7 linked regions of the Cricetulus griseus genome follow. The protein of the gene in region 1 interacts with the protein of each later gene in a pairwise test. Links are inferred from orthologs where the notes say so. Each region holds a gene or a part of one and is shown in the gene's direction. Other genes may lie near its edges.

Region 1 (3,500 bases):
TGACTTTCTGAGACCTTCTAGGTTGCAGTAAAGGAGTACCCCAAATCCATCCTTTCCCTTGATCTTCTGGATTGAATTTGGGATTGGATTAGAACTGCCTCTTTACCAGTGGGAAGTTGGGGGATACCTTTATTTCCCTGGAAGTGTAAAAGTCATTTCCATCATGGATGTCCTAACGTATCACTTACCTTTCTAGAAGTGTTAGAGTTTATTCTAACAACAGCATGTGAAATCACAAAGTTGGCTTGCTCTCCAAAGGTTTGGACATACCCAACTGGGCTGCCAATAAAGCTCCCCAGGTCTCTTTTTTAGTATAGACAGAGAAAGGAGCCATGCACATAGGTTGTCCCAGACTCCATTCTGGAGATCTGCCTAATTGAAAACATGTCTTGTGGAAGAAAAGGGGGCACATCTGGGGACAGCGTTTCCACACTGGGAAGAGGTCTGCTCTGTCTAAAGGGCTGCAGATTGGGATGGATAGCCAGAAGACTTACAGGGGTGGAAACAGTCATGTTGGGCAGTTCATGAATTTGGGGATTTGGATACTTTGTAGGATTTGAAGACTTGTTCTTGCCTGCTGACTCGTTTTTTTAGATGAGATCATATCACAGCCAAAGTATAGGGGTACATTTTACATACTTGGGCCAATTAAGGGTGATCCTTCAAGTAAAAGGACAAATTGAATATATGGGATAGCAGTCCATTTTCCCTCTTGCTTGCAAAGCAGATTGAGCGGAATGATGGTATTGTAGTTTAAATTGCTCCTAGAGGCCAAGATTTCCAATCACTTAGTGGGCGTTCTGGCCAGCCCTGGATAGGGAGAAAAGAACCTTTTCCTTATGACTCTGAGGGTCCGTCTTACTTAGTTTTCTAAGAAGTAGAGCAGAGGATTTGATGTGATCTTGGTTAGGGTCAAATCCATCTGACCCTGTCTAGTAAATGGAAGCATTCCTTGGAGAGACACCTCTCTCCTTACTCTTCCCTGGGCCCAAAGGGATGCCTCTGATCTGGGAGAGCCCTCGTGTTTAGAGATTACTTCTTACTTGTGATGTATTGGAACTTTTCCAGGGGCCGTATGGTTTACACTTTACATACATACATACATAAAGTTTGCACATGGGTGCACACACACATATAAATAAAAAAAAACAAGGTTTTGGGGGAGGCCAGCTCTGTCATTGACTTAGTTATTTTAATCTTCTAAGAAAACATTTTTATTGACTTTTCCTCCTCCTTTAGATTACAAGCGCTTACTGGTCAAAAAAAGACTGATTACACGGAGAAAAAAGATGAGCCCAGCAAAGACAGCCATCAACAGGTTCTAGTTGACCAGAGATACTTTCAGGTATTGAATAGCTGATGAAAAGACTGGTGTTTGTGAAGATCCTTGGTTTTATGCAGTATAATTTGTTGCCACTTGGTAAGGAATGTTTGTATACAGACAGCTCTAGGTATCTGTGGGGGCTTGGTTCTGGGATACTTGTGGATGCCTAAATCTGCAAAATCCCATATATAATGGCATTGTGTTGTGACTTGAATGGGAAATGCCCCCTATAGGTTCATGTGTTTGAACATGTGATCTCCAGCCATTTAGAAATGTTTGGTGTTTGTTTGTTTAAGACAGGTCTCTCTCTGAAGTTCTGGGCTGTCCTGAAACTTGCTATGTAGACCAGGCTAGCCTCAAATTTATAGAGATCCATCTTCCTCTGCCTCCCAAATGCTGAGATTAAAGTTTTATATATTTTAAATTTAGTTTAGGTGTATTTCTTGTCAGGTTTATTTTCTAGGTATTTAATGACTCTCATTGCTGTTGTGAATAAGATCTAGGCAACTTTATGAGAATTTTATTTTAGCTGTTTCTCTGTGAGTATGTAACTGGGACTCTTTCATTTGCTTGCATGGGCTTAGTATGAGAGCCTGTGTGTGTGGAGACCAGCTCTTATTTCACTCTTACTGTTGGCATCTTACTGCTTTTCATATACTTGGTTTCCTGCTCTACTCTTTGGTTTTCTTTTCTTTTTCTGGCATTTGCTAGATTGACAGATGTTTCTTTGTCCTTTTTAATTTTGTTTTGTTTCTGCCTTAAAAGAAAAGCAGTAATTCATGTCATTCAGAGAGCTCACTGACACTGATAAACTCCCTGTGTTGTTGTTGTTTAAAGCAATCTAAAGGTGATCAGAGAACAGGAAAAGCTAAGATGAATTTAATTAATTAATTAAGCAATGGAATTTTCTTAAAGGCTTTTCCTGTTCTTTTAAAAATTCTTATCTCTGCGGGAATTGCTTTAAGTTACTTTATGGTTTCTACATTGTTACTATATCTTTTACTGCTAATTATCAAAAAGGTAGTTAATTCATACAGGACAATGTAAATTGTCACCTGTAAAAATTCTGATGGAATTAATTCTTCCATTAAAATCATGAGTTTATATATAATTGAAATTAAATATTGAAATATATATTTTTAAATAATTTATTTAACTTTATTTTATGTGCATTGGTATGATGGTGTCAGATCCCCTGGAACAATAGTTAGAGTTACAACTGAAAATTGCTGAAAATTGAACCCAGGTCCTCTGGAAGAGCAACTAGTGTTCTTAACTGCTGAGCCATCTTTCCAGCCCCCTGAAATATATTTTCATGAAAACTAAAAGCCTTCTAAATAACCTCTGAAGTCATATTACCAGGAGACCCATTAGTTGCAGCTTGAAGTATGCACAGGACAGAAATTCAAGATAAAATGCTGATCTCATCGTCACGATTCGTGTGTGTGTGTGTGTGTGTGTGTGTGTGTGTGTGTGTGTGTGTGTACGCTTGTGTGTGTTTGTGCATGCATGGGTTCCTGGTGTACATGTGGAGGTTAGAGAACAACTTGTGGGTGGACCATGTGGGTTCTGGGGACGGAACTCAGCTTGGTGGTAAGCAAGCCATGTCACTGGCCCTCATCTTCATACTTGATGATGATTTCTTAAATAGGATAGACTTCATGTTGATAAATGGGGAATTACTTTTATTATGTGTGTTTTGTTTTTTAAATACCACGCAAGGTGTTAAGAAAGGGCAGAGACAGGGGGCAGGTAATACCTAAACTCAGGCCATCTGACAGACCTGGGACCTCATTAAAACACTTTCTAAAAGGCTCTGAAGTTAATTAAAGAGGTAAAATAAGAGAGAAAACAAACAAGGTTGAAAGAATGATCTATTTTACCTGTCTTTGGGTGGTCCCTATTGTAGTGCTCATCATCACATCTAGAGAGTCAAATAGTATACATAATAAGATATTAAAACTTCAGCTCAGATATCAGTGATATTAAGGAGTTGTCAGTTTTCTTCAGTGTGACAGTGGCACTATATTGTATAGACTATACCAGCTTTTAAGAGATGCATGCTTTACTATTTGAGGGTAAAGAATGATGATAGCTTGATTTAGCTGACCCTGCAGACAGAGTGAGCCAAGCTAGGAAAATGTTAACAGTTACTGGATTTAGGTAGTGATTATGT
Region 2 (4,129 bases), on another chromosome or scaffold:
CAGGAGTCAGAGGCAGGTGATCGACAGCCCATAAAAACATATACAGAAATGTTTTATAGGGCCCAGTGACTCTGCTGTGATTTCTATTTTCACTGCTGACAGGTACTTTTTACGGTGTGATGAGGTTGAGATAAGGCTCCTGGTGTCAACTAATTTGCACGTATAGTAGTCACTAAAAACCCTGCAAGAGCCTGGGTTTCCTGAAGAACATCCCACACACACATTATACAGAACAGCTGGGAAGACACACACCACTACCAAGATTTTTTTTAACGTGCTGAAGCCTAGTACTTTGGAATTAATGCCCTGAAGAAAAGCACGGTGTCCAGACATTACCAATCACCTCTCTTTTTCCAAGTGAGATTTAAAACACGTTTCAGATAAAAAACAAAAAAAAACCCAAACCTGACTCAAACATGTAGGAAGTGATTCTTGGATAGTTAATGTGCCTGGAACCCCGACCTCCAAACCTCCAACAGCTCCTTTTCCTCTCCCTCTGACATTAGACCAAATTAAAGCCAGGCTATTATTACTGCAAGCAAAATGTAAAAGTCACTTTCTCCTAGAGCGCCCCCCTCTTTTTTATCGCTGCCTGCAAATAATTCTTAGTGCGAAAGCCTATTCCCAACTTTTAGGTCCTATTGGCGACAATACTATGGCCTGACGGACATGAAGAAGTACCAAGAAAAAGAAGGTACGACTCCTGACAGGTTCCTGGAATGAAGAGTTGGCTTTGCCAAAAGGATGCGCCTGGGAAGGAAGAAGCACCACACGGCGTCCCTTGCTGCAACACGACCCGAGGACATCTTTGTCAGCCCGCGAGGAACCGAGAGCTTCCGTCCCGATCCCCCTCCTGGGGCCTTCACGACCCCAAGCTCCGTCCCACAAGAGCCCCTGCAGTCCTACCAAGTCACTCCCATGGCGCAGGGTCAAAGGGGTGGCACTGCCAAACACTCGAAGTCAAGGGATCCAGAGGCCCCTGGAGGTAGAGCCGCCTAAAGCAGGATGCAGGCTCCGGAAATACGCAAAATCTGAGCGCCAGAGCGGTACACCCACAGAAGGGAGGCGTGCCCGGGCGCTCCAGCGATGAACGAATTCCGTCATCAGCCCGGCTCCGCCCCCAGGGCGCGCTTTGCTTTGACAGGACCTCTCAGGCTACATTCATGAATTCTGTCTGGAAAAGGTGACTTGGGACATCCACCCACTTCCGTACAATGAGATTACCTGAGAATCTGGGGAGTCCAGCTCCCGCCCCGGAGCTCCTGGAGAGATGGCGGTATATGAGGCACTTCCGGCCTCCGAACGCTGGGGGGCGCTGTGAACTCTCGGTGACCTCCCGAGCACCGGAACACAGGGCGCAGACACAGTCCTAGTTTTAAACCGGCTTCCCACGTGTGAGTAGCATCGGCAAGTTTTTCGAGAAAAATGCCCAAATTGAAGGTGGCCCGCGGGGCCCGGAATCAGGAGAAGCATGCACCTCTGGCCGAGCAGATTCTGGCTGGGAATGCAGTGCGCGCGGGGACCCGAGACAAGCGGCGGGGACGCGGGGTTGAAGAGGAGGAAGAGTATGTTGGACCCCGGCTGAGCAGACGCATTTTGCAGCAAGCCAGGCAACAGCAGGAGGAGCTCGAGACTGAACACGGGACTGCAGACCAGCCTGCAAAGCCACGGGAACGCGCCACGCGGCTGGGTGAGTGACACGGGCTGGAGTGGTGGCATGGGCCGGACTAGCTCAGTCCATCCGGATACGGGTTTGGAATTACAAAGAGGAGGCAGTTTTTCCTTCCCGCGTGGTCCTTCACTTCAACGCGTACCTTCTGGAACCTACCTCAGAGTTCCAACAGGAAGTAATCACTCACACCAAGTTCCAGTATTTATTCTCTGGGCTTGTGAAGTATGACTGTGTTTCCTGTGCAATGCTTTGAACTGTGTTAAGAGTTCAGGCAGTTCTAAGCCGGGCGGTGGTGGCACACACATTTAGTCCCAGCACTCGGGAGGCAGAGGCAGGCTGATCTCTGTGAGTTCGATCCACAGAGAAACACTGTCTTGAAACCCCCCCCCCCAATAAAAAAGAGTTTAGGCAGTTCTGATACCGAAATAAACAATGTACTCGTCCTTGCTTTTAGCACCGGAAGTCTACCCCAAGGCAGAGAATATTAAATAGAGTAACATATTCCAGCAATGAGCAGCGGTGCTCGCCTGTAATCCCAGCAGGTGAGAAGCTGAGGCAGAAGAAGGCCCTCGTGGACTACATAGTAAGGTCCAGATCAGCCTGATATACATGGTATACCTCTATCGATCGAGACAGTAAAAGAAAATGAATATATTCCTATTCAAAACAACAACAACAAACCCGCCATTAATTCAACAGGCCAGGCACCCCAGTTTTGTGCCCTGCCGACTAAGATATAAAAAACATGGGAAATGTTCCATTAACCGAGGCAGGAAAACAGTTTAGAATCGAGTGGGGGTGGGCGGCAGAGATGAGTGGGAAAGTACCTGATACTTGTCTCATTGGGAAGGTTGACCTCCAGTTTCTTAGTCTTGCCTTCTTATTCTAAAAGCAGTATTGAGATGATTGAATATGGCTTTAGGGCCATAGTAGCTTTACTTCCTTGTTTTGAGGTAGGGTCTCATTCCCAGGATGGCCTCAAACTCTGTATGTAGGTGAGGATGACCTTGAACTACTGATTTTTGCCTCTGTTTTTCCAACTGATGGCAATATAGATATTTGACACCACACCTGCCCTTAAATTTTTGTTTTTAAATTACGATACTGTGTCTCCTTAAGTTACTCATGCGGGACTTGAACTTGCTCTGTGACCAGAGCAGGCCTGAGTTTTAGGTTTTCCTGTGTTGCTGTCTGCAGATTCCGGTTTGAAACCATGCATTTGATGACTACTCCCAGCTTTTTCTCTCAGACATAGTTCTTTCAGTAAACTAACATCCCTATATCCACCTGTCTACCTGACATCTCACTGCTTGCTCCATGGAGTCTCTTAGCACATTAGCCTCCCCTTGCTCAAGGCTCCTCTTTCTCATTCTACATCAGGTTTGTCAGTAAACCCTGATGATTTGTGTCTTCAGGATATATCCACTTCCTTAGCTTGGAACATCCTCCTGTTTGAGTTCCCTTGAATCACTGTGGGAGCATCATCATTTACTGTTCTCTAACGTCTGTAATCCATTCGTCAGCTAGTGATCAGTGACAACCTGTTGGGTCCACCTCTGCTGACCAGATGCTAGGGAGGTGATGAGAAAATTCAGTTGGTGAAATACATGCTTTGGAAGCAAGAGCCCCTGACCTCAATACACAGCAGCTCGTAATCCCAGAACTAGGGGGTTGAAGACAGATTTCCTGGTCTACATAGTGAGCTCCAATCAGCCAGAGCTACACAGAGAAACCCTGTCTCGAAAAACAAACCAAAAAAAGGCACTTATTTTTTCAGAAAGACGAGAGTTTGGTTCCAAGTATTCACATGCCAGACCACTGCTATCTATAACTCCAATTCCAAGGGCTCATATGCCCTCTTCTGACCTCTTTGGGCACCAGGGACATTTATGACTCACAGGCATACACATAAAATAGTGTATATAAGTCTAAAACAAAATTAAAAAAAAAAACCAACAAAACATGGGTCTCGCTGGACATGCTCTGCGTACTCTCCTGAGCTATGTGTACCCTTAGTCCAATTCTGTTGCAAATGACCTGTTGTTATATAATATTTCAACTCCTTTGGTTTGTTAGACTCTTCCAGGGTCTTTGCCAGCTATGTGTGGTGTTTCAAAAGTCAGCCAGGTGTATTGGCACGTGACTTTAAATCTGAGCACTAAGGAAGCAGAGGCAGACAGATTTCTGTGAGCTTGAGCAAGTTCCATACCAGCCAAGGTTACATGGTCAGACCCTTGTCTCTCAAAAACAACAACAAAAACAAACAAACCAAGAGTTCAGTGTTAGAATTACAAACATGGACCACACTGTCTAACACTTGGGAGGTAGAGACAGAAGAACAGCCTCAGGGCAACACATAGACTAATAGAAATGGGTTAATTTCAATTAAAAAGCTAAGCAGAAACAAGCCTAAAGCTAAGGCCAAACATTCATAATTAGTAGTAAGACTATGTCATG
Region 3 (4,299 bases), about 53 Mb from region 1:
CAGTACTCTGTGAGGCAGCTGTTTCCAGGTGTCCTGTAAGAACAGAAGGTTCTGGTGCTTGGCTAAGGGCTGGTGGAGGAAGAGAGCTGGCAGTTCTCATGTCTCTAGAGTTATCTAAGTCCCACACTGTACTGCCTCATTTCAGAGGTTATTACATAGGGCCCAGCCCTGAGAAGGTGTGCAGGTTTTTCTGAGTCACACCGCACACCTACTGTAGAGAAGGGTGGGCGAGAGTGAGGTTTTGGCTCTGAGTACCCTCTGCCTGGTTGCCATTGCTCAGATTCCTTTTATTACCAGTCTCTGGCCCAGAGGCCCCGAGCAACTTCTGTCCTCTGAGGCCAGAGTGTGTACTCTCTCAGGGCCATGGGCACAGGAAATCCTCCAGCGGCTATGCTCTAGTGAGATATTTAGGTGTTTCCAAGAAGCAAGAGTAGAAGAGACTGGACAATCTCCAAAGCCCCAGACTCCAGTCCCAGCCCTGTGATGGGCTGAAGCCAGAGTCCTCATAGCATCTGTGCTTCTTCTCTGTTAGAAGGCACAGCTGGGGGCTGTGAGGTGGCTCAGTGGGTGAAGTGTTTGCCCACAAGTAGGAGGACCTGGGTTCAAGCACTAACACCACGCAAAAGCTAGATGTGGTGTCTGTCTGTTGTCCCATTTCCAGGAAGGAGGCAGGCAGATCCAGTGGCCAGCTCCCGGGTTTATTGAGAGGCTCGTCTCAAAAAAAAAAAAAAAAAAAAAAAAAAAAAAAAAAAAAAAAAAAAAAAAAAAAAGGTTTGTGTGTGAGCAATTGAGAAAGATGTTGGAAACACACACACACACACACACACACACACACACACGACATGATTGTGGACGGTAGGGAGGCTTAAATAAACTCAGACATGTAAAGCACCTAAAGACATCAGCTGCAAATTGCTAAGAATCAGTCATGTAGTCCTAACCTCCGAATCAGACCCAATGCACAGCTAGCTCCAGCAGGATGTGTTGTCCCAGGGTGGAGGCTTTCCTTTGATATCCAGCCCGCAAATTACAAGGCGATTTGGCTTGTGTGACCCAATTAAGAGCCTTCTGTCCCATGGACCTCCTTGGACACCTCACCTTCTGCCCCCAGGGGCACTGACCTCCTCAAAGCCTGCCCACCTGTTGAGGACAGAGGCTCTGCCATCCTGCTAGAAGTGCTTAGACAGAAGCAGTCGAACTGGTTGTCAATGGTGGGAAGCAATAAAACTGGGAGAAAAAACACTTCTTTAAAATCCCAGGCTGGGCGTGAATGTGCAGGCGTGGCCCAGGTAATTAGCCTCTTTGCCTCCCCCCCACGCCCCCCCCCCGCCCCGCCTGGGCCCGTTGTGTCAGGTTGCTCCTCCTATGGCTCCTCCTCCTGCCCCACCTTCTCCTCCCCACAGGTGTGTCCCTGGGCTCTGCTTGCTAGTCCCACTCCGTGCCCGAGACACCTACCAAGAGACCCCAACCAGCAGAAACAGGCCAACAAGTGACCTGCCATGGAAGGTGCCGATGCCTCTAGGAGCAATGGGGCCAGCCCGGAAGCCAGGGACACTCGCAGCCCATCGGGTCCCAATGGCAGCCTGGAGAATGGCACTAAAGCAGACAGCAAAGATACCAAGACAACCAACGGGCACAGTGGGGAAGTGACAGAGGGCAAGACCCTGGGCAGTGCCCTGAAGTCAGGGGAGGGGAAGAGTGCCCTGTTTTCCAGCAATGAGTGGCGCAGGCCCATCATCCAGTTTGTGGAGTCTGTGGATGACAAAGGCTCCAACTACTTCAGCATGGACTCTGCGGAAGGCAGGAGGTCTCCTTATGCGGGGCTCCAGCTGGGGGCTTCCAAGAAGCCGCCTGTGACCTTTGCTGAGAAGGGGGAGCTGCGAAAGTCCATCTTCTCTGAGCCCCGCAAACCCACGGTGACCATCGTGGAGCCAGGGGACATCCGCAGGAATAGCTACCCCAGGGCTGACTCTGGCCTCCTGCTGAGGTCGAAGTCTGGCTCTGAGGAGGTGCTGTGCGACTCCTGCATTGGCAACAAGCAGAAGGCGGTCAAGTCCTGTCTGGTGTGCCAGGCTTCCTTCTGTGAGCTTCATCTGAAACCCCACCTGGAGGGCGCTGCCTTCCGTGACCACCAGCTGCTCGAGCCCATCCGGGACTTCGAGGCCCGAAAGTGCCCCTTGCATGGCAAGACTATGGAGCTCTTCTGTCAGACTGACCAGACCTGCATCTGCTACCTCTGCATGTTCCAGGAGCACAAGAACCACAGCACTGTGACCGTGGAGGAGGCCAAGGCTGAGAAGGAGGTGACTTATCAGGACCCCGGCTGCTCCCCGCTTACCCTTCCCCCCCTCCCACCTTGACCCTCAATCCACTGTGCTCCGTTCTTTTAGAAAACAAGTTTTCCCCCTTTGTACCTCCAGCCTGGGGGTCAGAGATCTAACTGCCAAAGATCTTGGGAGAGGGGCATCCTTAAGTGAGGGAATAGAAACTCCAGAAAGGTTAGAAGCTGGACTAAGTTCATGAGATAAATCTAAGTCAGGCCAGAGTGTAAAACTGTATTAAACTCTCTCCTGGGCTCCACTTGCCCCCCCCCCCCGCCCCCTCTATGAATAGAAAACTCTTCCCTACTGAGCAGGATTGGACCCTAGGGAGTAGGTCAAGAATGAGAGACATATTAAGGGGATTTGAGGACTCCTGAAAGACCCTTTTTGCTGGCTCCAGGTTTGCTTTTGCAGTTCAGCAGCTACTTGAATCTGCCCTAACTTGGAAGCCATTTCCTTCAACCCCCCTTCTCCCCCCCCCCAGGCTTTTACACCCCTTACTCTGCTTGTTGTACTTGGTTCTGAAGCCACGCCCTTCACCCCCACTTTGGCATCCCTTACTCTTGCTCAGTTGGGCCCTGTGTGCTTTGTTTGTGTGGCTTCAGCCAACAGGTCTGTGCTTGTGGATGGACAACACAGGAGTGAGAGCATGTGTGGGCGGGTGGATGTAAGCGTGTATTTTATACGCATGCGGATGTCTGCGAATGTGGGTGTCTGCCCATATTTGTGTGGGGGCTATGTAAGTGTGTTTGAGTGAATTCCCCGTGTGTGATGAGGCGGTACTTCCATGGGGAGAGGCAGGGGCAGGTGGAGACTTGTGCATGTGATGCACCTGGGGAAGGTATTCTGGGTTAAGGCCCAGCTGGGGCCACTGGTTTTGTCCCTTGCTGAGCTCACTCAGCTGCATGTGGGGACAAAGCGTCCTGGCAGCCAGTGCAAGGGCTTTACTTTCTCATTAGCTTTTGTACCTCAAATTGCAGAGGGTCTCTCCTTGCCCAGAGCCTTGATTATGTGCTTGTTGGTCACTCTCACTCTGTGTCTCTTGCCCCTACCCTTGGGGCCGCAGGTGCTGAGTCACAGGTAGGGACAGAATCAGACACCCTCTCTTAGAAACATCATTTGGTACTCGAAGGTGTCTTCAGTTTTGCTTGTTCCCTGACTCCAGCATCTCCTGGCTGCAGCCTGGCTCTTAGCTTCTCGATGATAGACAACAGAGGGCAGGAGCATGAAGCCCATTCGTGGAGACAGTGCTTAGAATTCCAAGCAGAATTCTAAGGGCACTGGGAAATGAGGCAGGCTGGCTGTTACGAGGTTGTCAGTCTTTAGCTCCAAGCCAGTGAGTGGCTCATTTCCCTCCATGTGAAACTGAGGGATGGACTACACTGTTTTCACATTTCTCTGTGATGGCCCAGGATTCTTAGAAACATCTCTGAGGACTCTGGGGTAAGAAGGAGACAAAGTGGGCACAGGGAACAAACGTTTCAGGTTCTGCTTCCACTGAGAGCCAGTTAAACACACAGACCTCTTTTTCTATGCAAGCTTCGGCTCCACTGTGAGTGCCTGTAGAAGAATTGGCTCTGGGGGGCAGGAAGGTGTGGGCAGCTTGGCTTGGAGACACTGAGATCTCCAAGTTGCTGTTCTTAGTCAGTGGATGCTGTAGGGCTCAGAGAGTCCTTGCCCTCAAGGGCTTGTGACATAGGCAAGGAAGTAGAGGCTTAGACAGACAAACAAGACAGAACACCCTCCCAGGTATGCAGAAGCATAAACATAAATTTCAGAGGGAGAATAGCAGGCCTAATGGTGCATTCACAGCCTCACAGTCTACTCTTTACTTCACAGACTGGGGCACACACCCAAGGAAAGGAAGGAAGGAAGGAACCTGGCTAATATTATGGCTGGAGAAAAATGTGCCTAGGTTGTCTTGCAATATATGAAGTCACCTTGGAAGGGAATGGGATCCTGGAGTGACTGCTATGGT
Region 4 (4,261 bases), on another chromosome or scaffold:
GTTCCAGTATCACAGCTGTCTGCACGCTGCCATGCTCCCTGTCATGATGATAATGGACTGAACCTCTGGAACTGTAAGCGAGCTACCTCAATTAAATGTTTTCTTTATAAGAGTTGCCATGGTCATGGTGTCTCTTCACAGCAATAAAAAACCCTAACTAAGACATAGTTATATATTAAAACATAAACGAAGTGGATCCCTTCTGAGGAATGATACCTGAGAATGACCTCAGTTCTACACACACACAAAGAGCTACTCACCCCAGAAAGGGAATCCATGACAGACCGAAGTTACGACTGCACCAACTTGGTGAACTAATGAGTTTTTGTTGGGGTTACTAACAGGAGTATGAGTGAAGGGTTACTTACAAGGAGCAGGGATGACTCAAAAACTACTGCGCCATTGGAAAATCCTACTGGGGGAAGTGAAGCCCTGGAGCTCTCTGGATAGCCTGTAGGCAGTTTCAAAGACTGAGAACCCTCTTCACATGGGGTTGTCACTCCTTTTTATACAGCTGGCAAGGACCTTTCTGTTTTCACAGACCTTTTGTTTTCCTCCAGAACCTCACAAACTTCCTCATTCCATCCCGTCAGGGATTCTGAGGAAAATACCATACAACAGTAATTATGGGGTGTTCCTCAAGATTTGAAAAGAAATGTACCAATAATTTGGTACTTGTAGAAGATAAGCTCACAGTGCTAAAAGGGACTAAGACAAGGTTTGTTCTGGAGCCATTTTGAGTGACCATGGCCCAGGAACACAGGTTTAGGTTGTCCTAAAATCCATGTTCTAAGGTGGAAACAGGTTTCACAAGGCTTTAGTTTTACAGAACAATGAAAGTCATAAATCAAGGCAAATTTACACTGGTGGATACACCAGAAAGTTACAATGAGATGGGGAAACATTTCTATAGGCCCAAGATGTTACTGAAGCTTTGGGGTTAGTGGAAGTTAGTGGTCTGCTAAGTAAACAGATTCTAAAAGGTCTTTTATCTATTATTCACAGCAAGATGTTAGTTCTGACAGAGATGGGCAAGGAGTAGCTGTTCTAGAAGTAGTCCAAGATAAGGTGATTAGCCACTAGACCTTCAGCATTCCAGTATCTCCATATTACTGTAGTACTGTAAATCAGTCTGCACACAAAGCTTCTTTGTTTTATTGGATTTATTTTTATTATTTTATGTATATGACTGTTTTGCGTGCATGTACGTCAGCGCATCACATTCGGGCCTGGTGCCCTTGGAGGTAGTAAGCCTCCATGTGGGTGCTGGGAATGGAACCCAGGTCCTATGTAACAAGAAGTGCTTTTAACCACTGAGCCAACACTCCAGCCCCTCCCCCTTTAATGTCTATTTTTTAGTACTTATGTTTTGTGTGTATGTGTGTACACCCACGCGCGCGTGCGCCCCGCCCCACCTCTGGGCTTTCTGCCCCGCCCCGCGGGGAGGGAGGGTTGTTCCATCCCTATCTCGCCGCGCATTCGTCTGGTTTCTCAGCGATGCACTCTGCTGGGTTCTCCGAAGCCTCCACGTTTGTTCCTGCGCTCTTTCTGTCCGGATCCTCTCAGAGTTGCAGGCCCAGATCCACGGAGTGCTCCCCGCCCCTCCCGGAGCGCTTGCCCCTGCTACTCCGCCTGCAGGGTCCGCGGCGCCTTCTGCGGAACTCCGGGCCATAGACGCATTTCCGGAGGACTGAGTTCACTGTTTTAGTCAGGACTTCCGGTCACCGCTACGGCGCATGGCGGTGAGCTTTGGAAGAAGGCGTTTGCGTGGCGAGGCCCTGGGTGTGGGGCCCCTGTGAATTTCCTCCTGTTCCACGTTTTTCAGGCGTTAGGGCGTCCTGCTCGGGAGGCACCAGCAGCCTCAAGCCGGAGAACTCAACGCGCTGCGCGCAGACCTCGGCTCCCCCGTCCTGCTTGCGGTGCCGCAGATCCGCCCCTTGTCAGTTTAGTGCAACCTGCTTGTGACTCTGCCACCAGAGCACATCCCACAGGCAACACTGTGTCGATGAAGCAAAAGAAGAAGAAAATCCCGAACAGGGTCTCTGGGACAAATGGAGACGGAAAGATCTCCGAGAAACCTGTCCTAGACGAAGCTCCCCCCAGTGCTGAAGCCCAGGTAAGGGTGGGATTCCCTGTGAGCTTTCTGGGTGCTAGCTAGTCCTCCTGAGAGTGTGGTCTAGTTGTGCGGAATTAAGGCACTGAAGGGATGGGACTGGCTGGGGTCTGCCGAGTCCTGATGCCTATGACAGCCATGACCTTCTTTCCACCCCAGGCGGAGCAACTGGCGAGGGAGCTGGCCTGGTGTGTGGAACAGCTAGAGCTGGGACTCAAGACGCAGAAACCCACCCCGAAGCAGAGTGAGAGCCCCTTCTTTATAGTTAGGGAAATGTAAATGGTGATAGTGCTGTAGCCTGATGGTATTGCCAGGGGATGGAATTGTTGCTTTTGTAGGGAGTATGTATGAAGTTACCAGCTCCTTATTTTTATCTGCAGAAGAGCAGGCTGTTGGGGCAATCCGAACCTTGCGCAGTGAAAAAACCCCCCTGCCCCGGAAGAGACAGCTGATGCGATCCTTGTTTGGGGACTACAGGGCTCAAATGGATGCCGAATGGCAGGAAGCCCTGAGGGCTCTAAGGACTGGTGAGGAACCGGGAAGTGATTGATTCAGTTTATGTACTTCAAAGAGGTAGGGAGAAGCTCAGCTCAGCAAGGTTGGTGCTGGAGGAAATGGGCACAGGGAAAACCCTAAGCAGGAAGAATGTATATACCTTTCTGGGCTCCTGGAATCAGGAGAACCCTGGTCCTCACCTTGTTCTGTTTTTGGGGTGGGAAAACCCAGCTCACCTGTCTAGGCCTTGGTTCACTCCACTGACCACAAAGCCAGGTACCATGGGTTCAAATCCTGGATCTGTTATTTAGATCTTAACAGTTTAGCTAGTTACTGGGTCTCTGAATCTCATCAGGGAATGACAATATCATCATTATAGGAACATTGTGGGGGCAATCATAACTGCATGGATATTGTTAACTGTTACTCAGTTCTGACTCTTCGCTCCACCTTCCTACAGCTACCCATTCAGCCCGAGTACAGCTTGTAGGAGAGACTGCCAGAAAGAAGAGTGGAAGGGTCTGTAGGCCTCGTCCAACAGGAAGAACCAAGGCCACTGTGGACTTTCCTGATGAAGAATTTCGGTTCAATTTCTTTTAGATTCTCCTACATTCTGGACTAGTCATCCTCCTCCAGGGTGGTGTGACCATTTGTCTTGAATATAGGGGTCTTTCTATGAACTCTTTTGGCAGAAGTAGGATTGCTTTGTCTCTAATTGGTTTGTGGACATGAAACTGCTGCCCCGGGTGAGACTGTCCTTGAACTTCTCAAGGAAATGTTCCTCCTGTCAGAAGAGAGGTGCTTTGGGAACTCCTCTGTGCTAAGCCTGAGTGTTGAGTGGATTGCAGGAATTGTGCTCCAGTCTCTGGGAATAACTGTTGGTGGTAAGGAACTGAAGAATCTGTGTACTTTTGAAAGGATCAACCTAATAAATATGTTTTTATTTTTTTAAAAAAATAGGTGATGAATGGAAGCTTGTGATGTCTATGGTGGATGGAGTTAGGTGGGGCAGGGACTGCCTTTACTTGGTACAGCTCTGATGTCAGGGTTTAGGTCTTTGTCCATGTTGTCTCTTTTTCTGAGGAGGTTGTCATCTTCAGAGAGCCAGTGTGGCCTCCATCAGGCCATCATTTGTTCTTGAGCTGCATGCTTTAACTTGAACTGTGTTTTAGCAGACTTGTGTCTTTTTTTAAAAAAAAACCTTTATTTATTTGTGTGAGTGTGTATGTGTGTGTATGAGCATGCTAGGCACATGTGTGTAGGTCAGAGGTTTAACCTCTCAAGGATTAATCTCAGCCTCTAGATTTGGTGGCAGTTGCCTTTACTCACTAAGCCATTTTGCCAGCCCACACACTGCCTCTTTATGGGTACTGAACCCTCTGCTATACTGAGTTGAGATTTTCAGGTGTTCACACCAATGTAATCTGGTGTTGCCCAAAGTCAAATCCCAGACTAGATATAATCTGGAGTCCAGCTGTATTCAACATTTTCTGTATGAATATTCTGTGAGCAGTTCAAACTCAGAATGTTGCAGAATACCTAATTAGGCCCTGGGTCTCCCTTTCCTTTTTAGTCAGTGATATTCACTGCCTTGTCTAGTTGGTTATTAGGCCAGAAACCTATGTCATTCTTGATTTCTCTCTTTTTCCAACA
Region 5 (4,089 bases), on another chromosome or scaffold:
ATGGCTTCAATCGAATCAGCCAGGTGCCTAAAAGGGACGGGGCAGGTGGGACTGGGACTCAGGTGTTTCCGGGATGGAGTGGACATTGACAGAAAGGAGGCCATGAAGCAAGAGGAGAGTGGTTGGACGGATGGTATAGAATTCCCAAGAGGGGGGTGGAGTGAAGCTTTAGGGGTGACTATTTGGGTCCTGGGGATGTCATTAAAGTATTGTTCTCTCTGCCCCCCCTTCTCTCTCCAGGCCTGTGAGCTGCACGTAGCAGGATTTAATTTTGAGGTGCTGAACGAAGGTTTTCTGGTTCATAAGGGCTTCAAAGAAGCATTGAAGTTCCATCCCCAAAAGGAGGCAGAAAACCAACGCAATAAGATCCTTTACCGCCAGTTCAAACAGGAGTTGAAGGCTAAGTACCCCAACTCTCCCCATCGATGCTGAATCCTTTCTTCCCCTGGTCTGAGAATTTCCAGCATCTGGCTCCTCAGGCCTGACTGGGGTAAGACACATCCCTCCACTCTACAGAGGTAGCTGTGGTTTTGGAACACTGGACTTGACTATGGGGTGCTGGGATCAAGTCCTAGCTTTACCACTAACTAGCTGTGTGGCCTTGAACAAATCCTTTTACCTCTCTGAGCCTCCAATACCCCGTCTGTAAAAAGGGAGGTGAAAATACCTACCTCACAGAACTGTTGGCTCAGATGAGGTGCTGTATGTGAAAACATCCTGTAAACTTCGTACAAATGTTAAGTATTATTAATATTATTACAGTGCTATTATTGTTAGTATTATATTGTTATTATTAACAATGTTGGGTGGATAACCGCAGAGCAAGAAGTATGAATGGAATAAATCTGAGAATCCTGAGTACTTAATAAAATGAGCCTTTTGGAAAGAAAGATGAAAACATAGAATGTAGTGCTCAATCTGGGGTAAAACTTAAGCTTCCTGGTTCTCTCACACCTTGGCCCTCCAAGCTCCCTGAAGGAGCGAGGGTCTGTAGGCCCTGGGGGTTAAACTCCCAGCTCTGTGCCCTTCACTAGGTTGGGCTGCGCGTTTGCCTTCAGATGAGTGTGTAAATAAACGAGTGTTCAGACCCTCAGCTGGCTCTGTGACTCTCCTGAGCTCTGAGGGGTTGTGGTGGGAGCATCGTGTTATCTGGTGGACTCAAGGGCACAGACCACAATGCTGGGGCAGGCTGGGAGGCCGGGGAGACGGTGGGCCGGTTGCTATGGGGACCCGCCCGCGGTATCCCGGCATGCCTGAGCACCGGTGGGTCGATTGTAAACTTCGCGGCGGGCGCCCTTTGATGACGCACACGGAAGCGTCGGCCCCTCCTGGAGAAAGAGGGACCTTCGCAGCTCATTCCCAGAGGCCAACGGCGGTGGCGTTTACAGCCTGGGTCCGACAGCTCTCGTAGAGTCTCGGGCGTGAGGCCGGAGGCCCCAGTCCCTACGGTGCGTATGGTCACGCCTGGCGCTGGATTGGGCTTCCCGGGTCGGAGCCAAAGCAGAGACTTAACCGGTTCGGCTCTAGTGCTGGCCTTAGACGAGCCCGCGGTTCCCTGGCCAGCTCGGTGAATCGGAGGGTGGATCGCGGCTGGATGCTCCCGGAGCGCCGCAGTGAGTTTGTTCTCCGCGTCTGTAGGGAGGGGTATCCCTTCCCTGGAGGCTTGCTCCGGAGGTGCTCAGACCTCTGCAAAGAGAAACTGCACGTACACTGCGCCTTACAGCGCGCCTCTTCCACTTCTTACAGCCGTCAGCAGTGGCATATCCCCTGTTTGTTGTACCTGGGTGAAAAAGAGACGGTTGTGACTTCATTTAACGAAGTCAGGATCGGAGTCAGCTGGAGGAAGGAGGTCTTTAAGACTTCGTGCTGCGTCTTAGAAAGTACATATACATAACGGTGAAAAGGAATTGCCCGCGCGGGCACCTGAGCCCTGAGAAGGGGAACAGTCATGCAGTTTTGGGTACCTAGGTTTTCAGAGCAGGAGGAAATGCTACTAAACTTTCCTGCAGGTCCATCACTATAATTAGTTGAATGGGTGGCCACCAATGTAAGTAGTGTTACTGAGAAGAGAAGCAAAAGCCAATTCCTGCACTGCAAAGGTTTTTTTTTTTTGTTGTTGTTGTTGTTTACTTTGTGTTTAGACATCTCCAGTCATACAGTGAGCGGGTGTTGTGCTGGGTGAATAAGACAGTTGTGCAGCCCCTGTCCTGGTGAGACTCCCACATTCACTGGGTGGATGGACATGAAAATGAGAGAATAGGAGATGGAAATTATGAAAGCTTGGGGGGTGTCTACCCCACTATAGCTGGAGATGTAGGAGTAACAGCAGCGTGAAATAGAAGCCCCCACTGGCAGAGAGAGTATTTGCATCCGGAATGGCTTATTTTCTCAGATGATCAATCTATTTCTGCAGAGGTTCTCCCCTACCTCTTTGGTTGACCTTGGGAGTTCCATCACAAACCCCTTCTCACATTTTCTGCCTGACCAGTCACTACATGAATCCTCAACAACCTGCCATATGTAGATAACCGAGTTCCTGAAACCTGGGTCTAGTGGGAGCTTACATGCCCACGTCATTGGTCCCTTTTCCCATTTCTAGATCTTTGCACTTGCCAGAAATGATCCCTCTTTTGTCTGCCAAGTTCTCACCTAGTCTATCTTCCTCTGGAAGCTGTTAGTTCTGCAGCAAGATCTTGTCTAGACACCTTTCCCATAACACCCTAGTTTTGACTCTCTTCACACTTTATAAAGGTCTGTTTCTTTGCCTTCTCTCCCAGGAACTTGTCATTTCCTTGAGGCCAAAGACTGTCTGTCACAACTATACTCTAGCTTCTACCACAGTGACTGTTGGTACCTGGCGTATATTAGGTGCTTAGTAAATATTAGATAAGTAGGGGGTGTGTGAAGGGAAGGCTTAGCAGTGTTTAATGTTTTTGAAAGGCCATCTAAGGTAAGCACTGAAAAATGCTGGTGGCATTTGCTACAAGGAAGTTGCTGTGTAATTCTGCTAGAGTGGCTTCAGTGTGAGTACTGGGTACCCAGTGAAAGAGTAGGAGATAAAAGTCACAACAGCAAGTATAAACAAGGCCTGGAGAACTATAGAAGTTAAGTAAACTGGGCCAGGTTTTGTATGCATTCATTCATTTACCGACTTACTTATTTGGGGTTTTTGACATAGCCTCACCAACTATTGCCAGCCTGAAACTCACTGTATACCAGGCTGGGCATGAATTTTTAGTAATCCTCCTGCCTCTGCCTCCTGAGTGCTACGGTAACAGACCTGTACCACCACACCTGGCTTTATTTTTTTAATTGTATTTGTTTTCCACAGGGCAGAGGATCTAGTCCAGCTGTTTCTGCAAGCAGCAACTCTATCACTGAACATTTGTTTTTGTTTTAAGACAGAGTGTCACTATCTATCCCAGGATGGCCTGGAACTTGCAGACCTCCTGCATCAGCCTGTATCATATCAGGCTCTCTCTTTTTTATTTTTCCCTTTCTAGTACTGGGAATTGAGCCCAAAACCTCGTACATGCTAGCAACCTGCTCATACTTCTCTCCTTTTTTCTGGGTTTTTGTTTTGTTTTGTGGTTTTTGTTTTGTTTTGTTTTGTTTTGTTTTGTTTTTCTCCCAAGACAGGGTTTCTCTGGGTAGTCTTGGCTGTCCTGGAACTCATCTGTAGACCAGGCTGGCCTTGAACTCACAGAGATCTATCTGCCTCTGCCTCCTGAGTACCGGGATTAAAGGTGTGTGGACCACCACCCAGCTCTGTTTTTTCTTAATGGTAGGAAAAACCTGAGCACATCTGAACTTCCACATAGGAAGGTGCTTTCTGTCTAAGTCCTTAAGGAATCCTGGGGGTTTGGGGTAGAGTTAGGGCTCCACATTTACGAGAACCCAAGTTCAATCCCCTGTCTTTTACCAAAACAAAATCCTGAGACTGGGTCATTTATACAGAACAAGCTGAGTTGTGGTGAGGGCCTGTAACCCTGTGATATCAGCAGTTTGGGAAGGTGAGGTGTGAGGGGTTACTAGTGGTTTGAGGCCAGCTTAGGCAACTTAGGGGGACTGATTCTCAAGAAAGGCTGG
Region 6 (2,536 bases), on another chromosome or scaffold:
ACAGGTGTGGGGTGGGTCCTTTATCAGGGAATTTGGGCACAGGGAAACCTAAGACTTCACCCCAGTTCTCAATGGCTCTAGAGTGGAGAAACTGTCACAGCACACACACAGAATTTGGGGCCATGAGGTCACTTTCTCCTTTACCACTGTTTTTCCTTCCCAAGAATATAATGACGACTACTATGAGGAGAGTTATTTGACCACCAGGACATATGGGGAGCCCGAGTCTGTGGGTATGTCCAAGAGCTTTCGCCAGCCAGGGACCTCACTTGCAGATACCCACACCTTCCATCACCAGGTGAGTTGACTGGCAGCATATCTGGATGTAGTCTGAGAGGATCCTAACTGGGTCTGGATAAGTCCAAGGAGATATTAGGTACAGAGAGTAGTCCTTAGGCGGTCAAATAGGGTTAGGGTCGGCATACAGCTGTTTGGGTCAGAGTTCTACTTTGGGGCCTCCAAAACTGAAGATTTAATTACTTTGCCAGGCAGTGATGGCACATACCTTTAATCCTATCACTGGAGAGTCAGATGTAGTCAGATTTCTATTAACTTGACGCCAGCCTGGTCTACAGAGTGAGTTCTAGGACACCCAGAGCTACAAAGACAAACCCTATCTCAAAAAGAAACAAAACATTAATTATGTTTATGTGTCTGGGATAGTATGCATGAGTGTTGGTGCATTTTTAAAAAGTCTTAAAAAAAAATAAAAACCAGAAACCCAAGATAAAGTTGCATGACATTTTTAAAAGTTCATTTGTCCCATCATCTCTCTTTTCTTAATACAAATTTTATTCTGTAGCTGGAGCTACAGGTGGTTGTAAACTCCCTGGTGGTGAGTGCTGGACACTGAACTCAAGTATCCAGCCGATCAAGTATCCAGTCTACAAACTGTTTTGATCAGAGCACATGTAGCATTCTTTGCACTCTAGTCTGGGATCTAGTTTTAAGCCTTCTGAGAATAAGGGGGAATAAAAGGATGCTGAGACAGAGTTGACAGGTATAGTCACTGAGTAGCAAGGCTCCACAGGTAAAAAGGCCACAGATCAGAATCGTTCTGGAGGGAGGGGGCAATGGTCTGGCTTCTAGGGTATGATTAGAGTAGGCTGGTCAGAGACATTTTTGGGAAACCACCCTTCCCCCAATTCCTAACCCCTGTTGTCTTGCAGGTTCGTGATGATATTTTCTCTTCTTCAGAAGAGGAGGGCAAGGATAGGTGAGTAGTGAACACACATAAGGACAGGGACAGGTTTGGGCCTCAGGCTCTCCTGCCCACTTGTTTCCTTCTTTTGCCACAGGGAACGCCCCATCTATGGCCGAGACAGTGTCTACCAGAGCATTGCACACTACCGTCCCATTTCCAACGTCTCCAGGAGCTCCCTGGGCTTGTCCTATTATCCTACATCCTCCACCTCTTCTGTGTCCTCTTCTTCATCTTCTCCCTCTTCATGGCTTACCCGACGTGCCATCAGGCCAGAAAAGCAGGCTCCTATTGCTGCTCTGGGCCAGGATCGTCAGGTCCCACTCTGGGGCCAGCTATTGCTCTTCCTGGTCTTTGCTGCCTTTCTGCTCTTTGTTTACTACTCCATACAAGCTGAAGAAGGCAACCCTTTCTGGATGGATCCCTGAGAGTATTGGTTTCTGAGCAGCTCTTAACAAGAGTTTTGGCTGATTGCCTTATCAGTGTTTGCTGGGGGTAGGGTGGGTGAGGGCTTTTTATGTGTTCTTTAAGGGGTTCAGGGCCTAGCCTAGGGCAGTGCTTATCTCCCACCTCCTCCTGCCAAGAAGGCAGCAAATGCTGGCCTTCCACAACCCATTGGGCCCATATGTACCTTCCTCTGGAGCCTCCTAGTCCTATTGCTTCTGACCCTTAGGGCTCCAGGAGATAAGACCCCACTTCTTTAGAGGAAAACTTGGTGGAGGTGATGGTAGTTGTCATGCATGCCTGTTTGTTGTCACCCCTTTTTAGGGTGTATTAACCAAAGGCCACCCTGGCTTTGTTTTTGTGGACACAATAAAAAACACATTTATTTTTACTTTGTTGGCTCTTCCTACTGGGGTGGGAGTTGGGCTACTGTGGCACAAGTGCTTAGTCTTGGGTCTCAAAAATCACTGACTTTAACCTTTGGTTCTACATTTTAGTTTGTTCTTGGGGAAGGGATCCAGTGTTACCCAAAGATAAGTCTATGTTTTCGTTGTGGGTTTTATTTCTGGGCTCACTCCCTGAAGCACTTAACAACTACTTACAAAATAACTACCATGTAACCAAATGTGCCCATGGGAAATTCAGGCAAAACTGCATTATGATGATACATGCAGGCACTTTAGCCAGGAGAGGCTCATGCCAATATGTGAAGTTACAAGGTTAGAAAAGAAATGAGGCATCTTGCCAGTGGATTTTTTGCTCAGCTCCTGGGATTGATAGTTATTTGATAGCATGGGGGTAGATAGAAAAACTGCAGGATACTCATCCTAATTCTTTGCCTGTTTATTGTTGCTCAGTTTCCAGGTCTTCTGTCCTGGATACATATTACAT
Region 7 (4,083 bases), on another chromosome or scaffold:
TGGGGACGCAGGCTTTTGCTGTACCCCTTCTGATCCTCTCTTGGTAAGTGGTTCCAGACTTTATGGTCGGAGTTTGGATATGTGTGGTTTAGTGTTGGGGGGTTGGGGGCTGCTAGAGAGGAGGGCTGCTGCCTGGGTACCTATGGCATGGAAGACAACTGGGGTCTCCCTAGATCTGGTTTGGGGTCTGGATTCCCGGGTCTAAGGAAAAGAAGTCTGGGTTTGAACACTGGGTCTAAAGGAGGTCTGCAGTCTAGACCCCTGGTCAGAGGGAGGAGGGCAGAGGTATGGACTCCTCCTGGTCTGAAGCAGAAGCCAGTGGCCCTTGGGGGTCCTGATCCTGGTTTCTTTTTTGGGGGGGGGTTCGAGACAGGGTTTCTCTGTGGCTTTGGAGATTGTCCTGGCACTCCCTCTTGTAGACCAGGGTGGTCTCGAACTCACAGAGATCCGCCTGCCTCTGCCTCCCTTAGGGCTGGGATTAAAGGTGTGTGCCACCAGCACCGGGCGTGATCCTGGTTTCTAAGGAGCCATATGATGAAGGGGTGTGTGTGTGTGTGTGTGTGTGTATTTATTTTATTTTTCTGAAGTAACTTTCATCCCTGTCTTCCTTAGCATCCTGATGGTGTTTACAATAGCCCTGGCTAACTCTTACGGACGCCTCATTTCCGAGCTCAAACGCCAGATAGAGACGGTGAGCCATGGTGCTTCCCCGGCCAGGGCCCCCTGGGAACCTGGGAAGGACTCGGGTGTAGGGTGTAGAGTAGGCCTGCCTCACTTCCACCCCCTTTCTTTTTTCTTGCCCTCAGGAAGCGAAGAATAAAGTCTTCCTAGCCCAGCGAGCTGTGGCTCTGAGCTCAGCGAACGGAGCCATCTGACCACCCGAGACCCGTGGTTACACCTCCCTATCTGGTACCCTGTGGTCTCTGGATCGAGTCCTCCGCACCCCACCCCACCCCACCCACCCCAGTGCCACACTCTCAGTTGCACCGTTATTAATAAACAACAGCTTTGCATTTTGAAGCCGGGTCCTGAAGCTGGGGACAGGGTTTAGGGAGGGGCCTGATCCGGGTCCCGGGTTGTGTCTGCGAGCAGAGGGCTAGACAAGGCGGGGCAGCATCAGCCCTACACGGCGGCGTCCGGGGTGGAGCGACCCGGGGGTGGCAAACGTTTGGGATTGGCTGTGATGGAGGGCCTCTTAGCCAATCACCCCTGGATAGGGTCATAAGTGGGCGTGGCGTCTGGCCGGGAACCAATGCACAGGCGAGGGTGGGGCCACGGGGCGGGGGCACCCTCGCGCCAATCGGAAGTGTGGGAGTCGGGGGCCCGCTGGCTCGGAGGTCGGCGGGGGGACCATGAATATCTTGCCCAAGAAGAGCTGGCACGTCCGAAACAAGGACAACGTCGCCCGCGTGCGGCGCGATGAGGCCCGGGCGCGGGAGGAGGAGAAGGAGCGTGAGCGGAGGGTGCTGCTCGCCCAGCAGGAGGTGAGCCTGGGCTGGCCCGGAAGCGAGGCGGGCCTCGCTGGGTCGGTGGGTGACTCGGTGGCAGCCGCGGGTCTGTGCTTGCTGACGCTTCTCCGCAAATCCTTTGCTGACTTGCGCGAAACCGTCCTGGATCCCCTTCCCCCCCCCCCCCTGGTGTGGCTGAAGTGACCGCAGGCTAGCACGTCGGAGTGGGACGGCTGCCCCGATCACTTTGGAGATCGTCCGCACAAGTTAATTACTGAGCACCCACTGTATGCGTGCCCCCCCTCCTGCAGAGCGCTAGACTTGACACGACCCTCTTAGAGCGACTTGGAGTTGCAAAGGCTTCAACGAGGAGGGCAAAGGGCGGGCAAGCCGGAGTGCACTCCGTTAGACCTCTTCTTTCTCCACCATTGCTCCCCCAAACACACCCAGAGGCTGGCTTGCTCTCTCTCTCTCTTTTTTTTCTTCTTTCTTTCGGTTTTTTGTTTGTTTGTTTTTATTTTTCGACACAGGGGTTTCTCTGTATTGCTTTGGAGGCTGTCCTGGCACTCACTCTGGAGACAGGGCTCGAACTCACAGAGATCCCCCTGCCCCTGCCTCTGCCTCCCGAGTGCTGGGATTAAAGGCGTGCGCCACCAAAGAGGCTTTCTTTGAAACAGGGTCTATGTAGCCCGGGCTGCCCTGGAACTGGCTATGTAGACCAGGTTGGTCTCGAGCTCTGAGATCTCTTGCCTCTGCCTCCTGAATGTGGGATTGAAGACCACGCATGCATGCACAGGCGTTAGTAATTACTCAATCATGTTAGTTTACAATTAAGTCCCTTGGCCAATCTGATCATGAAGTAGTGTGGGTATTTAAAATTTCGGAAGTAGCCGGGCGTTGGTGGCAATGCAGAACCTACCTGGGATGGGAGTGACACGGGCCATCACTAATGTGTTTGGGATGCTGACCTGGAGCCACACCTGGGGTTCAGATCTTTTGTCCAGAAACTGTGTTTGGCTTCCTAATAAGCTGTATTTGGGAGTTTGTACATGTGTGTGCTGGGCATACACTAAGCAGGGGCTCTATGGGTGAACAAGCCACCTCTATACCTTATAGCTGAGTAGTTTTTGTTTTTTTAGATTTTATTTATTATGTATACAGTCTTCTGCCCACATGCCAGCAGAGGGCACCAGATCTCATTCAAGGTGGTTGTCAGGAATTGAACTCAGGTCCTCTGGAAGAACAGTCAGTGCTCTTCACCGCTGAGCCATCTCTCCAGCCCCTAGCTGAGTGGTTTTTGATAGCTGTTTTTCTTGCATGACTCCAGGCTGTGGAAACCCTTCTGTTTTAGGCTGGGATCTCCCCAAATATCCCTGGTAATCCAGTTAACTGTTTAAAAACAACCATTCTCGTCGGGTGGTGGTGTCGCATGCCTTGAATCCCAGCACTTGGGAGGTAGAGGCAGGCAGATTCTCTGTGAGTTGGAGGCCAGCCTGGTCTACAGACTGAGTTCCAGGACAGCCAGGACTGTTTTACAGAGAAACCTTATCTCAAAAGCCAAACCAAACAAAAACCCCATTCTCCACTTCAAATTAGAAATGGTGTCTTTTCTGGCTCCCAGTACCTCTACCCCCGCCCCCCCCACACAATTTTTTTTTTTTTTTAAACCTTTTTCCAGATAGCTTCTCTCTATGTAGCCTTGCCTGCCCTGGACTCTGTAGACAGGCTGGCCTCGAACCCACAGAAATCCACCTGCCTCTTTCTTCCTCCTGAGTGCTGGGATTAGAGGCGTGTGTCACCACCAGCCGGCTCATGGCCCTTCCTTGGAGCCCCCAGCACTTCTACGTTCTGAATGTCCTGCCTATAACTTTCTTCACAGGCCCGAACAGAATTCCTACGGAAGAAAGCCAGGCACCAGAACTCACGCCCTGAGCTGGAAGCAGCAGAGGCAGGCGCTCCAAGTTCTGGCCCTGTGGACCTGTTTAGGGAGCTGCTGGAAGAAGGGAAAGGAGTGCCCAGAGGCAATAAAGAGCATGAAGAAGAGAAGCGACAGGAGAAGGTAAGCTGCTGGCCTCTGTTGGCTGATTTCGGTGGGGTGGGGTGGGGCGCTACCAGCTGTGACTAACAGCTGTTTCTTATGTTAACCTTAGCTAGTTTATTTTGAGATGACACCTCAACTACACAGACAGGCTGTCCTCCAGCTCACAACCCCCTCCGGCGCTGGCCTCCTGAATGCTAGTCGTCAGCATCTGTCGCCAGATGGCGCTTGTGCTTCTCACATTGTGAACTGTACTGTGGCTCTCCTGCATCCCACTGAAACCACTCCTCTGCTTTGCTGCAGTTTTTCCTTAGACGCCCCCTGCAGATTAGCCATCAGCACTTTTGCGTAGCTGGCCCCTGGTCTGTGATTTCCCTTGTTGAATACCCACCAGCCCCTGCCTCACTGGGAACTCAGGCCCTGGGTTTCCCTACTGCCACATGCCATATCTAGGGCTCCCAGAGGGACTTGGGAAGACTATTTTGTTTTCTTGCCCCCACAGGAGAGGCAAGAGAAAGCACTAGGCATCCTGACGTATTTGGGCCAGAGCGCAGCAGAGGCTCAAACGCAACCTCCTTGGTACCAGCTCCCCCCAAG

Evidence for each region.
Region 2: the proteins of Cep70 (region 1) and bystin interact in binary tests that used the Homo sapiens proteins (3 or more experiments, as listed by UniProt). The link is inferred for Cricetulus griseus from reciprocal best matches to the Homo sapiens genes CEP70 and BYSL.
Region 3: the proteins of Cep70 (region 1) and Trim29 interact in binary tests that used the Homo sapiens proteins (3 or more experiments, as listed by UniProt). The two-hybrid records come from large-scale screens. The link is inferred for Cricetulus griseus from reciprocal best matches to the Homo sapiens genes CEP70 and TRIM29.
Region 4: the proteins of Cep70 (region 1) and CUNH8orf33 interact in binary tests that used the Homo sapiens proteins (3 or more experiments, as listed by UniProt). The link is inferred for Cricetulus griseus from reciprocal best matches to the Homo sapiens genes CEP70 and C8orf33.
Region 5: the proteins of Cep70 (region 1) and Brms1 interact in binary tests that used the Homo sapiens proteins (3 or more experiments, as listed by UniProt). The two-hybrid records come from large-scale screens. The link is inferred for Cricetulus griseus from reciprocal best matches to the Homo sapiens genes CEP70 and BRMS1.
Region 6: the proteins of Cep70 (region 1) and Emd interact in binary tests that used the Homo sapiens proteins (3 or more experiments, as listed by UniProt). The two-hybrid records come from large-scale screens. The link is inferred for Cricetulus griseus from reciprocal best matches to the Homo sapiens genes CEP70 and EMD.
Region 7: the proteins of Cep70 (region 1) and leukocyte receptor cluster member 1 homolog interact in binary tests that used the Homo sapiens proteins (3 or more experiments, as listed by UniProt). The two-hybrid records come from large-scale screens. The link is inferred for Cricetulus griseus from reciprocal best matches to the Homo sapiens genes CEP70 and LENG1.

Annotation. Positions count from the first base shown.
Region 1 is NC_048597.1:207,716,505-207,720,004, forward strand, and holds part of Cep70 (centrosomal protein of 70 kDa), read left to right. Parts: intron 1-1,239; coding exon 1,240-1,345; intron 1,346-3,500.
Region 2 is NW_023276806.1:255,579,836-255,583,964, forward strand, and holds the start of bystin, read left to right. Parts: upstream 1-1,329; 5' UTR 1,330-1,425; coding exon 1,426-1,690; intron 1,691-4,129. Other genes in the region: mediator of RNA polymerase II transcription subunit 20, read right to left, coding at 907-920. UniProt on the Homo sapiens protein: Required for processing of 20S pre-rRNA precursor and biogenesis of 40S ribosomal subunits. May be required for trophinin-dependent regulation of cell adhesion during implantation of human embryos.
Region 3 is NC_048597.1:155,007,956-155,012,254, forward strand, and holds the start of Trim29 (tripartite motif-containing protein 29), read left to right. Parts: upstream 1-1,499; coding exon 1,500-2,303; intron 2,304-4,299.
Region 4 is NC_048595.1:374,229,113-374,233,373, forward strand, and holds CUNH8orf33 (UPF0488 protein C8orf33 homolog), read left to right. Parts: upstream 1-1,461; 5' UTR 1,462-1,736; coding exon 1,737-1,742; intron 1,743-1,825; coding exon 1,826-2,116; intron 2,117-2,272; coding exon 2,273-2,357; intron 2,358-2,493; coding exon 2,494-2,640; coding exon of another isoform or gene 2,641-2,663; exon of another isoform or gene 2,664-2,686; intron 2,687-3,068; coding exon 3,069-3,208; 3' UTR 3,209-3,823; downstream 3,824-4,261.
Region 5 is NC_048596.1:54,243,822-54,247,910, reverse strand, and holds the start of Brms1 (breast cancer metastasis-suppressor 1), read left to right. Parts: upstream 1-1,289; 5' UTR 1,290-1,448; intron 1,449-1,455; exon of another isoform or gene 1,456-1,613; intron 1,614-4,089. Other genes in the region: B4gat1 (beta-1,4-glucuronyltransferase 1), read left to right, coding at 1-23, 241-432. UniProt on the Homo sapiens protein: Transcriptional repressor. Down-regulates transcription activation by NF-kappa-B by promoting the deacetylation of RELA at 'Lys-310'. Promotes HDAC1 binding to promoter regions.
Region 6 is NC_048604.1:1,456,020-1,458,555, reverse strand, and holds the end of Emd (emerin), read left to right. Parts: intron 1-164; coding exon 165-298; intron 299-1,169; coding exon 1,170-1,216; intron 1,217-1,298; coding exon 1,299-1,629; 3' UTR 1,630-2,036; downstream 2,037-2,536. UniProt on the Homo sapiens protein: Stabilizes and promotes the formation of a nuclear actin cortical network. Stimulates actin polymerization in vitro by binding and stabilizing the pointed end of growing filaments. Inhibits beta-catenin activity by preventing its accumulation in the nucleus.
Region 7 is NC_048602.1:21,581,544-21,585,626, reverse strand, and holds the start of leukocyte receptor cluster member 1 homolog, read left to right. Parts: upstream 1-1,283; 5' UTR 1,284-1,352; coding exon 1,353-1,484; intron 1,485-3,327; coding exon 3,328-3,507; intron 3,508-3,988; coding exon 3,989-4,083. Other genes in the region: Tmc4 (transmembrane channel-like protein 4), read left to right, coding at 1-43, 613-691, 807-875.